Caenorhabditis elegans: one gene and its partner. The protein of the gene in region 2 interacts with the protein of the main gene of each other region in a pairwise test. Each region holds a gene or a part of one and is shown on either strand. Other genes may lie near its edges.

Region 1 (6,972 bases), on a different chromosome or scaffold from region 2:
TGCAAAATCGTCACACCAGGCACATATTTCTAAATTTTGTGCACGGCCATTTTGAAGAATAGTCATTTTCTGAAGTGTTCAGTGGAAATTGCAGGCAAAAACTCGCTCAAAAAATGTCCATGATTGCTTTCAAAATTTTGCTATAATTGTTTTTTTCAGAATATACATCAATTTTTGGGATGTAATTTCCACTCACCTGAATTGCAATATTTCCTTTTGCTGATCTGGAATACGACGAATGACTAGTCGTTTCACCTTTGAGAACTCGAAGACTCTCTGCAACAAAACACAAAAACTGATATAAATTTGCAACTAACAATGCCTCGTGACACCTATTACTCCTATTAATCTTACCGTGCGGCTTTCTGCGAATTTTATCACCGACAAGGTAATGGGTATGGGGAACGTCGTCAAAAGTGATAGTCTCGTATTGAGAACAATGAATTTCTGGCATGTTACTTTTTTGGGTTAAAGATGAAACAATGCTGTTCCAAATCAAAAGTAAAGCGATTAAATAGGAGTACTAAATTGACCAAGGTATATCAACAAGGGGACACACCCAGCGGTCTCTCTGGGCGGAAAACAATAATAAAGTTACGTTACACAGTTTGGTGACCGCATGACTTGAAAACTTGAAACAAGTTATCAGTGGACGTATACTTTAAATTTTAACCGTAATTTGTGGTCATCGTAACGTGAAGTAAACATTGAGTATACGCGAACCTACCAATTTCCTTGGTTTGATGAATAGATGTTGTCTTAACAACCTGCTCGACGAGCTGACGTAGACCTGCGCGATTCTCTTCTCCATCAAGCATCTTACGGTAGATCACAATTTCAGCATCGAGAGTCTGTTTTGTATCAATGAGCATTTGAAGCTCAACCATCAGGATCTTGCTCTCGTCACGAAGTTTGTTGATCGATGTGTCCTTATCGTTCAGTGATTGTTCATATGATCTCATATCCTCTTCCATCTGGTAGTTGAGGTCTTCGATTTGTTTTTCGAGGAGAAGATTCTGAAATGTTGACAAATAATATCAGATGTATATAGTCATCAAAACGAACTCTTCCTTCTAGATCCGCCATCTTTCCACGCATATCACCAAGTGTTGTGCGGAGTCTCTTAACTTCCTCGCGAGCATAATTCTGCTCCAAGCAGTTGCGAGAATTTTGAGTGTGAATTTCTTGAACCTTCAGCTTGTACCAAGACTCGATGTCAGTACGGGTAGTGTTGCTCACCTGTAATTCAAGTCTCTATTTTTTACCTCTTTTAATGACTTTTCTCACATGATCATATTCGCTTCTGATCTCACGAATAGCAGAGGATAACTCATTCTTGAAATATTCGCGGTTTTCCACCGTAGTATCACGAGATGCCATAGCGAGAAGATCGTGGATTTCCTGAAAAAGACACTCGTTGAAAGCTGTACTAATTGTTTTTCATACCGAATCATGAATTCTGCGAATGAAATCACACTCCTCCAGTAGTGTCTGCACTTGATTTTGATAATCGATGCGGTTCAGAGTTTCTTGTTCCACAGCCTGAAAGCTGTACATATAAATTAAGTTTTCTACTGAAACTTACATTTCTGGCATGATGAAGTGAGTCGATCATACGATGATTTTCGCGCTTCAAATGACCGATGCTTTCTTCCATCAGAGAAATTCTTCTTTTCAATAGCTCAATCTCGGCTTCCAATGCTCCAAGTCTTCCGAGCACATTGTCAAGCTCTTTACGTGTAACGTCAGCACCTCTTTCAGCCTCATGAAGTTTGTTTCTATAGTTGTTCAGCTCTTCAACAAGTTTCTTAATTTGATCTTCTAGCTGAGCTCTTTCTTTGTCAGAATCGGCGATCAGGTCTTTCGCACTCTGAACAGAATTTAAAGTTTCTCAGATTTTGCTGTATATAATATTCATTCACTTACTCTGAGCTCAGTCTCATACATAACTTTAACACTTGTAGAATCGTGTCCCCATTTTCCACGGAGCAAATTCAAGTCCTTCTCCATCTTGCGATTTTGAGCCTCCAAGAATCGAACTTTCTCAATGTAGCTCGCCAGGCGGTCATTGAGTTCACTCATTTCTTTTTTCTCGCGAGTACGAGATTCACGAATGGCAGAGGCGGCATGGCCTCCGAATGGAGACATGCCTGATGTTAGATTAGATCCACCGATCTCTGTGATCTTGAGTGTGCGGCTAGTTCCAGAAGCTGAAATTTGAATTTTTGGAAGTCAGTTTTTGTAGTTTGAAGTAGTTTTTAAACGTGTATCAGAACTGAAAAATAACACTTGACAAACATGACCATAAAACAAAAAAAATTTGTAGGTTTTCCAGAGGAATCAATTCATTAATGTTAATAATTTTTTAACACTTTTTAAATTTTTATTTTTAACTTTACAGTCAAAAAAGTTCACTTAATCATTTTTCACCAATCATAATTTTGGTAGTGAGACAATAAAACATTCCACAAGTTTTTTCTTTTAATTGAATTTTAATTGATTTTATTTGTACATTTTGAAAGTTCAGATCAGCAAAAATGTTCAAAACTTCTCAAAAGGTCAGGGTTGTTGTTTGAACGTTTGGCATATTGCCAATTGAATATTGTAAAACATAAATTAAAACATTTGGAGGGTTTAATTTTAATATAAATCATATAATACATCATATAATACAATTTTAAAGACAAAGTACTGCTCATATTCAAAATATTCATCTGAAAACTCACAAATAGTACTTCCATAGGTGGCGGTGGATTGCATTGTTCTGTTAAACGTTGGTCGAACCGAAATTGAGCTTCGGTATTCGCTCTCCGACATTTCCTACAAACATGGAAACTTAAATAGTTTTCAATTAATTGCATTTTCATAATCGAAAATTAAAAAAAAAACACAGCGAACTATTTTTCGATGAAAAAGTGTAGAAAAGTTACCTCATAGTAAATGACGTTATACATATGTGACAAGAATATGAGTGAATATGACACAGATTAGAGATGGATCGTTTGTAGGACACAATGACAATGCGCGAGATCTATTAGCTGTTTCGAGAGCCCTAACTCTTGACAGAACAAAAAACCGTGTTACAAATTGGCGCGCGCACTATTTATTTTGACGGGACTTGGCATGCGTGGAAAGAGGATGCCTAGGAGGGTTTACTCCTAATTGTCTGTATAGTCAAATTATAGAAGGAAAAAACCAGGCATGAAACAGAAAATGAAACAGAAACTAAAAACTGGGAGAGTGTAACGGTTCATCGAGCTATTGACGAACGCGCACTGACCGCTATTCAAAAGCGGACGGCGGTGGCGACGGCGATTCGGTGACCGATTACTAGATGCTAGCTGCCGTCATGGCGTGTTTATACACAATGCTACTGTTTCACAACGTTTCCATATTCATGAGTATTAAAGGATCGTAAACACCTTATATTATTCTGAATTGTTTTGGTTGTGAAGGGATGACAAAAGATAAGCACGTCAAAACTAAAATCGAAAAATGGAAAAATTTTTAGTATGCGATAAGGGGAGGATAATGGGAATACAAATTGACAAAAATAAGTTCAGAGCATCGAAACTGCGTGTTCTAAAATTTAGGTGAAATGTTTACGACTTGTTAAAAATTCAATGTTCAAAAGGGTCTTAATCTATAATTCTGAAATTTATTTGATTGTGTCTATCTCAGAAACTATTAGCGTTGGGAAAAAGTTCAATAAATAAAATTTAGCTGATTATATTGTCTACAGGTTCAGATTGTTTCAAATCTGCACCCCGCGATCTCGTTCTTAGATAAATCGGCCGACATCTTACAAGTCAGCCTTTGATTATGGTTCGTGATTTACTTGTACAGCCAAAATAACAATTATTAATGAAATTGTTTGTATACAAGTTCATTTTAAAACTGCCAAAAAATTGAAGTTAAACATTTAAAATAAAAACAACACTGAAAAAAAAACTCACGGCAAACGGTCTTCTTTAAAACGGAATTTAAAATTAAAACTTCCCTTAAAATTCAAATCTACATAAAATGTTCTGAAACATAATGCTAAGATGTCTGTTGATTAATGAAACTTATGATTTGTATAAAATAAATTGCATTATCATCAGGAAAAGAGTCATTTTTTCAGTACATGCGAACTTTATTAATTAAGAAACTAGAAAAAAAAACAAACTTTCCTTTTTTGTTTTTAAGTATTATACTAACGTTTAAAAGGAAGGTTGCATTGGAAAAATAGAACCAGTGTCATTTTTAAAAAAGCTCAGTTACAGTACTCCCTTTTAAGGAGACCGTGTCGGACAAACAAACCGTAGGTGTTGCCTGAAATATATATGCAAAATAACACGGAGGCGGAGCTGTTGCCTTCATGTACACAAACGAAACTCGGCCTGTAAAATCAGGGAGAGAAGAAAAAATGGGCGAAAAGGGCGGATTGATAGCGGGTATCAAAACAAACATTTGCATTTTGAGAGTCTCTTTTTAAACATTTTTTTACTTTTTTGCTTTACAATTGCGGGAGGGGGAGGTAGGGAAATAACATATTTGTTGGGTAGTGCATATGAGTCAAAAATTGCACGCAGGTGAAATAGTAAAAATTGAATTTTGGTGAGATTTAAATGAAAATTAAACTAACAACACACGTATTACTAATTCAACAACGTTTATTTGAAATGGAAATTATTTCTTAATGCGTCTTTAGCTTTTAATTGGTATTTTCTACTTACACTGGCAATTTTGCAATTTTTGTAAAATGAGCAACGCCACATCGCAAACTATCCGTATAAAATGGCACAAGACCGAAATTCATAATAAAAGTGGTATTTTTTGTTGTATTTTCCAAGAACGTTGACTAAATTGCTTAATTCTTCTGGTGCATTTTGGTTAATCATAACGCGTTTTTATGTCAACTAATTATTTTTTAATTTTCAATTATCTAATTTTTCTAATTTTTATCTATCATTATAATTAATCTAATTTTTAATTAGTAAGGTATGTTTTCAATTGATATTTAATTAAACACAGGTATGCGTTGCAAATATGCTAAATTATTAATAATTCAATAAAACCTAATGTCCTAAAACACGTATAAGTTGGAGAATTTTAGCGAAATTTAGCCTTTTGTCAAATTTTCAATTATAAAAAGTGCACGAGAAGGTTTAGGAAAGTTACAGTACTAGTGATTTCATTCTATATACTCAAATACAAAGCAACGCAAGTTTTTGATCTATGTAGACAATAAGCTTGGGGATAAACTACGTCGTCTGCAACGTATTAAAAACACATAAATAACAACTGGAAACTTTGCGAATCCATATATAATGTGAAAATTCAGCGTTTCGCTTCTAATAAAGAGTATGACAGTTTTTCGGGACAGATGCTAACATTTCTTGAAAAGTTAAACCGCGCCCGTAAACTGATTACAGTTCATATCCTATTCAGGGGTATCGGTTCGGAACGTAAAAACAGGTTATGTATTTTGTATTCTGAATATTTTTCATAAGAACTGACTAAGCCGTTTCGGTGCGCTCAACGTGCGGATTACAGTGTACCAATACACATATTGCAATACGACTCCCTTTGTTGTTGTCGTTCTGCATAATTATTCATGGAACGCGTAGGTTGAAGGCGATAATGATGTATCATTTGTACCTATTGCGGGTGGGGGACAATAACTTCACAATATGTATGTCTCTTTTCAATTTTGATTGTGACTCACCGGCAACCATCTCAAACGTTTATCAATTTGTCGTCGAACGCAATTTCAGATGCTTTTTTCGCTTTTTTTGTGTTCGAAATGATTGGAATTTCATTTCGACATACAAAGAGAGTATTTATATTCAAATCAATTTTTTGTAAGTAAAGAAATGGAGAGATGATTTTATTTGCACAGAGAAATGAAGTTCAAAGTTTTGCCAAATGTCTCGAATAGTCAGGAAGAGGAGTTGGCGCGCCGAGGTGTTCGGAGAAAAATTGGACAGTTTTTTCCCAGACTTCAAACTGACTTTTTCCGTGAAGGCTTGTTTCACCACCATATGCTTGGAAGGTTCCTGAAAATTTGAATTTTAGAAAACAAAGTTAACAAAGTTTAATAAAAAATCAATGAAATCGGAATTTTAGATGTTGCAACAGCGGTCGACAGCGGGCCAACAAAAAAAATAATAATTTACCTGCAAAAGCTGAAAACACAGCTTCGTGATGCGGAAAACATGGAGGATCTAGCAAATGACCACCAGAAACATAATGAACTTCGACTTTCCTGTTTAAGTTTCTCAACTTTTCTGATAACACCTTTCCTACAAATACAGTTGGTGTGCTCAAATCATCTACGGCGAGCTGAAAATTTGAAATTATTTCTATGTTTTTTGTCGGGAAAACTAACAGAAAATCTAAATGCAGTTTCTGGACTTGAATCCTCGAATTTAAATCCTGCCCCATCTTCAAGTTTTAGGTTTCTGACCATATCAGTGTACACCATTAAATCATTCAAATACCAGATATCCTCAATTCCTTGATTGATAAATCTGAAATGCTGAAATTTGTCGGGGGTTTTATCATTTCGATTTGATGCTCAAATGTGTGATTCCTTTTCATTTGTTATATTATAACAGAATTTTTATAAACATTTAATGAAAAATGACATTTTTCTAAAAATGCACCTTCCTACTGGAGGTTGTTTTCCATCTATCAATACGTGCGCAAATTCGTCCATTGTGAAACTGCCATTGATTGAGCATGCCGCTTTTATCTTTAAACTATTAAATTTGTTTTCAGACAACATTAAATCCTACCTGTTTGAACCTTGTGGTGAGAAACATAACAAGAGTTCCTCCAAACGATATACCTTGAAAGCCAATCCTGTCATTCGTATAGGGTAATGAAGTGACAAAATTGATGGCATCCTGGAAGTATAACGTTTTTGAAAAATACAAAATATTTCTTCAACCTCAAAATATCGTAATTCGACTTCTTGCAATTCAT
Region 2 (6,972 bases):
AAAAAATTTCTCATCATGAAAAAAACTTGAAACACTTAAAACGCGGTTTACTGGCACTGTTACATGTATGTATTTTTCTACGACATGCATGTTTCAAAAATTCACAGACAGTATGAAAACTTTCTGTTATTTTTTGACCAAGACAGTAACCTTACAATACCACTACAGTACCTTGACATTATCCTCCACCGACTCCTAACCCAATACCTCTTCAAAGGACGAAATGCCAATTTTTCCAAAACTACAGTAACCCTACCGTATACCTACAGTACCCCTATAGTAACACTACAGTACCTTGACTTGATCCCCCATAAACTCCCGAATAACTACCTCTTCTAAAGCTCTAAGCTCAATTTTTCGGAACATTCCAGAATTTTCTCGATTTTTCTAGAAAGTTCTGGAACATTACAGAAATTTCTCGATTTTTCTAGAAAGTTCTGGAACATTCCAAAAATTTCCCAATTTTTCTAGAAAGTTCTGGAACATTACAGAAATTTCTCAATTTTTCTAGAAAGTTCTGGAACATTCCAGACTTTTCCCAATTTTTCTAGAAAGTTCTGGAACATTCCAGACTTTTCCCAATTTTTCTAGAAAGTTCTGGAACATTACAGAAATTTCTCAATTTTTCTAGAAAGTTCTGGAACATTCCAGACTTTTCCCAATTTTTCTAGAAAGTTCTGGAACATTCCAGACTTTTCCCAATTTTTCTAGAAAGTTCTGGAACATTCCAGAATTTTCTCGATTTTTCTACAAAGTTCTGGAACATTCCAGAATTTTCTCGATTTTTCTAGAAAGTTCTGGAACATTCGAGAATTTTTTCGAAATTTCCAGAAGATTCTAGATTTCCAGAATTTTAGAATTTTCAGAAAATTTAAATTTCCCGCAAAAATATTTTTCACAGAAAACTTAAATTTCTCGCCGAAATATTTTTCTCAGAAAATTTAAATTTCCCGCCAAAATATTTTTCACAGAACATTTAAAATTCCCGCCAAAATATTTTTCACAGAAAATTTAAATTTCCCGCCAAATTATTTTTCACAGAAAATTTAAATTTCCCGCCAAAATTTTGGGTCTTACCACGACGGGTCTCACCACGGTGGGTATTACCACGATGGGTCTCACCACGACGGGTCTCACCACGGTGGGTCTCGCCACGATGGGTCTCACCACGATGGGTCTCGCCACGATGAGTCTCACCGCGAAGGATGACAGACCCCGCCCACAATTCTCAGTGACTTTGGGTGTGACGTCACAGACTACAAAGACTACATAGACTACAAACTATGGAACAAACGGAATTATTTTTTTATATATAAGTAATGATAGTATTTAGAAGTATTCACTGATGATTTTTGTACTGCTTATTTGTAATTTTATTGTGAATGTGTTGTCAAATTTAGGCTCCGCCAGCTGCTGCACCACCGAAAAAAACAGCTCCACCGAAGAAACAACCGGAAGATGAGGAAGTGGTCGAGGAAGAGGATGAGGTGATTAAAATTGTGTTCTTATTTCCATATAGTAATTTGTATCGATTGTGTGGTCGTTTAAAACTGAAAACTTACAATTTTTTATTATTTTTTTTTCAGCCCCTGAAACCACCACCAGGCGATAAGAAGAAGAAAGTTCCCGTGAAGGAGAACGAAGAAAACGAGCCTCCCGTTGTTGCACCAAAAGCCGAACTTTTGCTCAGTGACAACGAGGATAAAAAGCAACGAATCAAGGAAGAGAAGCAATTAAAAGTAATTGCTTTAAATGAGTTAATAATCATACATTCTAATTAATTTGCAGTTAGTCAAATGGAATTTCCAAGCTCCGACTGATGAACATATCTCGCAACTTCAAACCCTGCTCGGAAACCAAGCGAAAGTGTCTCTAATGAGTCAACTTTTCCACAAAGATTTCAAGCAGCATCTTGCGGCTCTTGATTCTCTGGTTCGCCTTGCCGATACATCTCCTCGATCTCTTCTATCCAACAGCGATCTTCTATTAAAATGGTGCACTTTGCGATTTTTCGAGACCAACCCGGCCGCACTTATCAAAGTTTTGGAATTGTGCAAAGTTATTGTGGAGCTAATTCGGGATACAGAAACTCCAATGTCACAAGAAGAGGTGTCTGCATTTGTTCCATACTTGTTATTGAAGACAGGAGAAGCCAAAGACAATATGAGAACTTCTGTCAGGGATATTGTCAATGTACTTTCAGATGTTGTCGGTCCACTCAAGATGACACCCATGCTACTTGGTATGAGAGAAGAAGATCAATAATGTTCTAGTAATTTTTATTTTCAGATGCGCTGAAGTCGAAAAACGCTCGCCAACGTTCCGAGTGTCTGCTAGTCATTGAATACTACATTACAAATGCTGGAATAAGTCCGCTGAAATCGTTATCAGTCGAAAAAACAGTTGCTCCATTTGTTGGTGACAAGGATGTCAACGTCCGAAATGCTGCTATCAATGTTCTCGTGGCTTGTTTCAAATTTGAAGGTGATCAAATGTGGAAAGCAGCAGGAAGAATGGCAGATAAGGACAAGTCGTTGGTTGAGGAAAGAATAAAACGAACAGGAGTGAAACCGGGATCTGGTGTTGTCACCTCGCCGCCAACTGGAGGACCCAAAATTTTAGTGCCACAACAACAGGTTAGTTGTTTAAAATATTTCTCGTAATGAGTCAGGTTCCCTGAAAGATCACTTGAATCGGCCATACAGTCTTACGAGTTGGAAGTAAATAATATTTTTTTTTGTCTCAAATATTTGGAGTTAGTAGTGATTCCCTATTCGATACCCACGCGAAGTTTCGTTCAGTTTTTAGAAAACGAAAAATTACATGTTTTTCAGGGTTCGGTTGTTCGTCGTCCTGCTTCTCGATCTCGTACTCGTGAACCTGAACCAGAAGAAGTTCAAAGCGACACCTTCACTATACGACAAGACACAATGCCTCCAAAAACTTCATCTCGCTATGCACTTCGTGACGACGTCTTTTCGTCAGCCATGGGCCGTCTTGATGGCACTCAAGTCATCACTCCACCACAACCTGTCAATGGCTGGTCAAACAATACCTTCCAAATGAAGCGGACCAATTCTTCATCGTCGATTTCCTCCATAGACACTTCTGATCAAATCCAAAGAAGCATCAACAATATTTCGAGCAGTCTTGCAGATGTTGCTCAAGATGCTATGTTCCAGGTCACTTATGTTCTTAATCAACCTGAACAACGTCATCTTGTTGATCGACGTGCCGATTTGGTGTTTCGTGCATCTGCTGCTCAATTAGATTTGGTGATTGAAGAATTCAATGCTGGACGAGATGTCAGTGGAACTATGGACGCTTGTACGCAAATGCTTTTCATTGTAAGTTATATTTTTCATATGTCATAGTAATCAAGGGGAGTTCCGAAATATATCTGGCTCTCTTTGTTTCATTTAGTCATGCCATGTATATGTATATATCCAAATTTATCTTTTCAGTTGATGGGAGGAGTCGAAACTGAGCACGGCCTTGAGCCACTTAATGCGTCCCCCGACACAGTCAAAGCCATCATCTCTTCGGTCCTCAGATGTATCATCCAAATCGGTAACACAGAGTCCGGATACGGAATGGCAAGATCTCTCAATCGACTGGCAATGCGATTAATCTACAGAGTTGAGCTGTCTAATCTGTTGTGCGGATTGATTCTGGCAATGACTGAATCACTTCAAATGAACACCGGTATAACCGAACTTGTGTCGAAGCTCTCGTCGAAATGGTGTGATGAACTTGAAAAGAGAAGAGCTCAACTGAGAGCCTCGGATATAGTCGACTCATTCAATGCTTTCTACGTTTGTGCACTCACAGAACTTAAAATGGACATCAGCGATTCACACATTTTGATAGTTGATAACTATTTGGAGCGGGTTATCCTTCAGCAAGGAGACGTCGTCTTGGATGCTGCCCGTCGTCTTTCTCGACCACATATGCACTTGACCAGTATGATCAACAAGATTTTACAAATGATGAGAGAACGAAAAATTGATCCTATCATGCCTGGAACATTGGAAGCCAGAATGCCACAAGAGGATGAAGCAGTTGTAGTGCGAAGCGGCGTTCAAGTTTCGATCGACAATATTCTGCGTGATACCTCGATGGCAGTTAAACATATTGAGCAACTGAATATTCTCATTGCATCCAGTGACCGATCTTGGAATGAGTATATGGAATATCTCAAAAATAATCCAATGGGAGAGCTCATCAAGGAGCTAGTCGGCGAGTGTTCCAGAAAGAAGAGGATTGACTTTAACCTCTCTCATGTCGTTAAATCGTCAATGGCAGTTTTCAAAGCCATGGCAGCTACTGGTCCTGTTCAAGAGGAAGGTAGAATAACTCCAACAGATATAAACAGAATGGATACTATGATTGTGTAAGTTTCATAAGACAAAGAACGTAATTTAGCTCTCATCTCATATTTTGCCAAACTAAAAAAAACTAATTTTCAGTGGAACACCTCTATCTCGTGGAGACGCAACCATCACTCGTGCGCGTGGAAACATGATCCGTCCAAAGAGAACCACATTGAGCCGAGACCAAATGGCGAACATTCGTCATACACTGGACAGAGTCAAAAATCATTGATAATTTTATCCCTGCCCCTTAAAGTGCATAACACGAAAATAACGAGTAATTTCTTACACCCGCATTTTTACTGGTATTTTTTAGCTCTATGCTTCAATTTTATTTGCTTGTGAAATGTATTTTGTATTGTAAAATCATTTTGATTACCAGAAGAATTTACTGATCTGGAACTTTAATTTATTGATTGATATTCGTGGAAGAGCTCGGAAGTATTTCAGTTTTTTAGCGCTTATTTCATTCCCGGAAATAAATTTATTGTTTAACTTTTAAAAAATAACTTCAGCAAACAGACTCTCAATAAAAGGCGGATTAGCGGATTTTATTTGAGAATTTCGGTTCGATGACTGTTCTATGGAAATACATGAGAGTTTCGCTTTAAAGGTTCTGATTTCCAGAAATTTATTTATTTTTTCCATTTATTAATTAATAATATATTAAATTCCAAAAAAAGTATTGTCCGCAATGTGGCGTCACCGTGTACACCTTGGTTGGTACTAAGGACACCGAATTTGCCGACAATCCAAATTAATCCTATTTTCTTTTCGGTCTTCTTGATTAATTTCTCTAGATTTCCATAGTTAATTCATTATATTTTCAGCGAAATGCCAACTGTGGGAATCAAGAAAGTCATCCTTGACAAGCACTTCAAGCGAGTCTATTGTAAGTTTCTAAAAAAAGCAGTGTAGTCTGAAAAATGTTGCTACTGGAATTAAAGTAGTAAAAGCAATGAACGGATATCAAAATAAATTCGTAGTAAACTACATTGTTTGTATTACCAATAATGTTAAATTTTCAGCGGAGAAGGAGTTCGACGAGCTCTGTTTCGAATATGGCTTGGAGTTGGACGAAATTGTACGTTTTGGTTCAAATATTTGTTATCATATTTTATTTGCAGACATCTGAGAAAGCCGCTGTTGAAAAAGAGCAAGGAACAAGAGCTGCGTCTGATTTGAATGATCAAGAAGTATACAAAATTGACATTCCAGCAAATCGCTATGATTTATTGAGCGTTGAAGGGCTGGCTCGAGCAATTCGTATTTTCAAACAAGAAATCCCATCACCAGCATACAAATATGCCGATGTGCCAAAGACTGGTCTTCAAAAAATTATCGTGAAGAAGGAAACTGCTCAAGTTCGTCCTTTTGTCGTCGGAGCAGTTTTACGTGATATTTCATTCGATGCGGATAGCTATGCTTCTTTCATTGATCTTCAGGACAAGCTGCATCAAAATATCTGCAGAAAGCGTACTCTTGTTGCCATCGGAACACACGACTTGGACACCATTCAAGGGCCATTCGAATACCGAGCCGAAGCTCCAAAAGATATCAAGTTCAAACCGCTTAATCAAACGAAGGAGTATACTGCGGAAGAACTGATGACCCTGTATTCCACCGATAGTCATTTAAAAGCTTATCTTCCTATTATTCAAAATCATCCAGTGTATCCTGTGATTTATGATAAGAACGGAGTTGTTTGCTCAATGCCGCCTATTATCAATGGAGAACATTCCAAGATCACTTTGAATACCAAAAACGTCTTCATTGAGGCTACTGCAACAGATAAACAGAAAGCTTTCGTGGTCCTTGACACTATTGTGACTCTTTTCTCTCAGTACTGTGCCAAGCCGTTCACTATCGAGCAAGTCGAAGTTGTGTATGAGGAAACTGGAGTCAAAGAGCTTTATCCTCTTCTTTCCTATCGTGAAATGACTGTGACAACACCAGAAATCAATACGAAGATTGGTATCAACCTGAAAGATGAAGAAATGGCAACTCTTCTCAATAAAATGTCGTTGAAAGCTGAGGTTGCTGCGAAGGAAACTTTGAAAATTGTTGTTCCACCCACAAGACACGATATTCTCCACGCATGTGACATTGCTGAAGATGTTGGTGTGGCCTTTGGTTACAATAACTTGATTACAAAGCTTCCGGAGGTATTTATTCATTTTCTAGATTAAATTCTAAATAAGTATTTTCAGTCCAATACTGTTGCTGTGGCCTTCCCAATCAACAAGCTCTGCGATAATCTCCGGATCGAAATTGCTGCCGCTGGATGGACAGAAGCTTTGAACTTCGCATTGTGCAGCCGTGACGACATTTCTTCAAAGCTCCGCCAGCCAGATGCACTTTCTCATGCAGTTCATATTGGAAATCCAAAAACTCTTGAATTCCAAGTTGCTCGAACATCCCTTCTTCCCGGACTTTTGAAAACACTGTCTTCCAACCGAGACATGCCACTCCCATTGAAATTGTTTGAGCTTCAAGATGTTATTGTGAAAGACTCAAATACAGATGTTGGAGCAAGAAATGAGAGAAGACTTGCTGCAGTGTACTACAATAGAGCTGCTGGTTTCGAGATTATTCAAGG

Evidence for each region. Proteins that work in one complex are often made in the same cells at the same time.
Region 1: the proteins of fars-3 (region 2) and ifa-4 interact in a two-hybrid assay, tested with the Caenorhabditis elegans proteins (one large-scale study listed by BioGRID).

The regions. Positions count from the first base shown.
Region 1 is NC_003284.9:4,913,160-4,920,131, forward strand, and holds the start of ifa-4 (Intermediate filament protein ifa-4), read right to left. Parts: upstream 2,821-6,972; 5' UTR 2,818-2,820; coding exon 2,727-2,817; intron 2,211-2,726; coding exon 1,927-2,210; intron 1,871-1,926; coding exon 1,586-1,870; intron 1,543-1,585; coding exon 1,447-1,542; intron 1,402-1,446; coding exon 1,288-1,401; intron 1,240-1,287; coding exon 1,066-1,239; intron 1,017-1,065; coding exon 728-1,016; intron 277-727; coding exon 197-276; intron 1-196. Other genes in the region: K05B2.4 (Acyl-coenzyme A thioesterase 1-like), read right to left, coding at 5,896-6,041, 6,162-6,327, 6,374-6,515, 6,651-6,739, 6,783-6,893, 6,938-6,972.
Region 2 is NC_003280.10:8,459,645-8,466,616, forward strand, and holds the start of fars-3 (Phenylalanine--tRNA ligase beta subunit), read left to right. Parts: upstream 1-5,203; 5' UTR 5,204-5,207; coding exon 5,208-5,265; intron 5,266-5,401; coding exon 5,402-5,457; intron 5,458-5,500; coding exon 5,501-6,538; intron 6,539-6,583; coding exon 6,584-6,972. Other genes in the region: zyg-9 (Zygote defective protein 9), read left to right, coding at 1,401-1,487, 1,587-1,739, 1,789-2,242, 2,290-2,636, 2,835-3,347, 3,465-4,393, 4,470-4,605.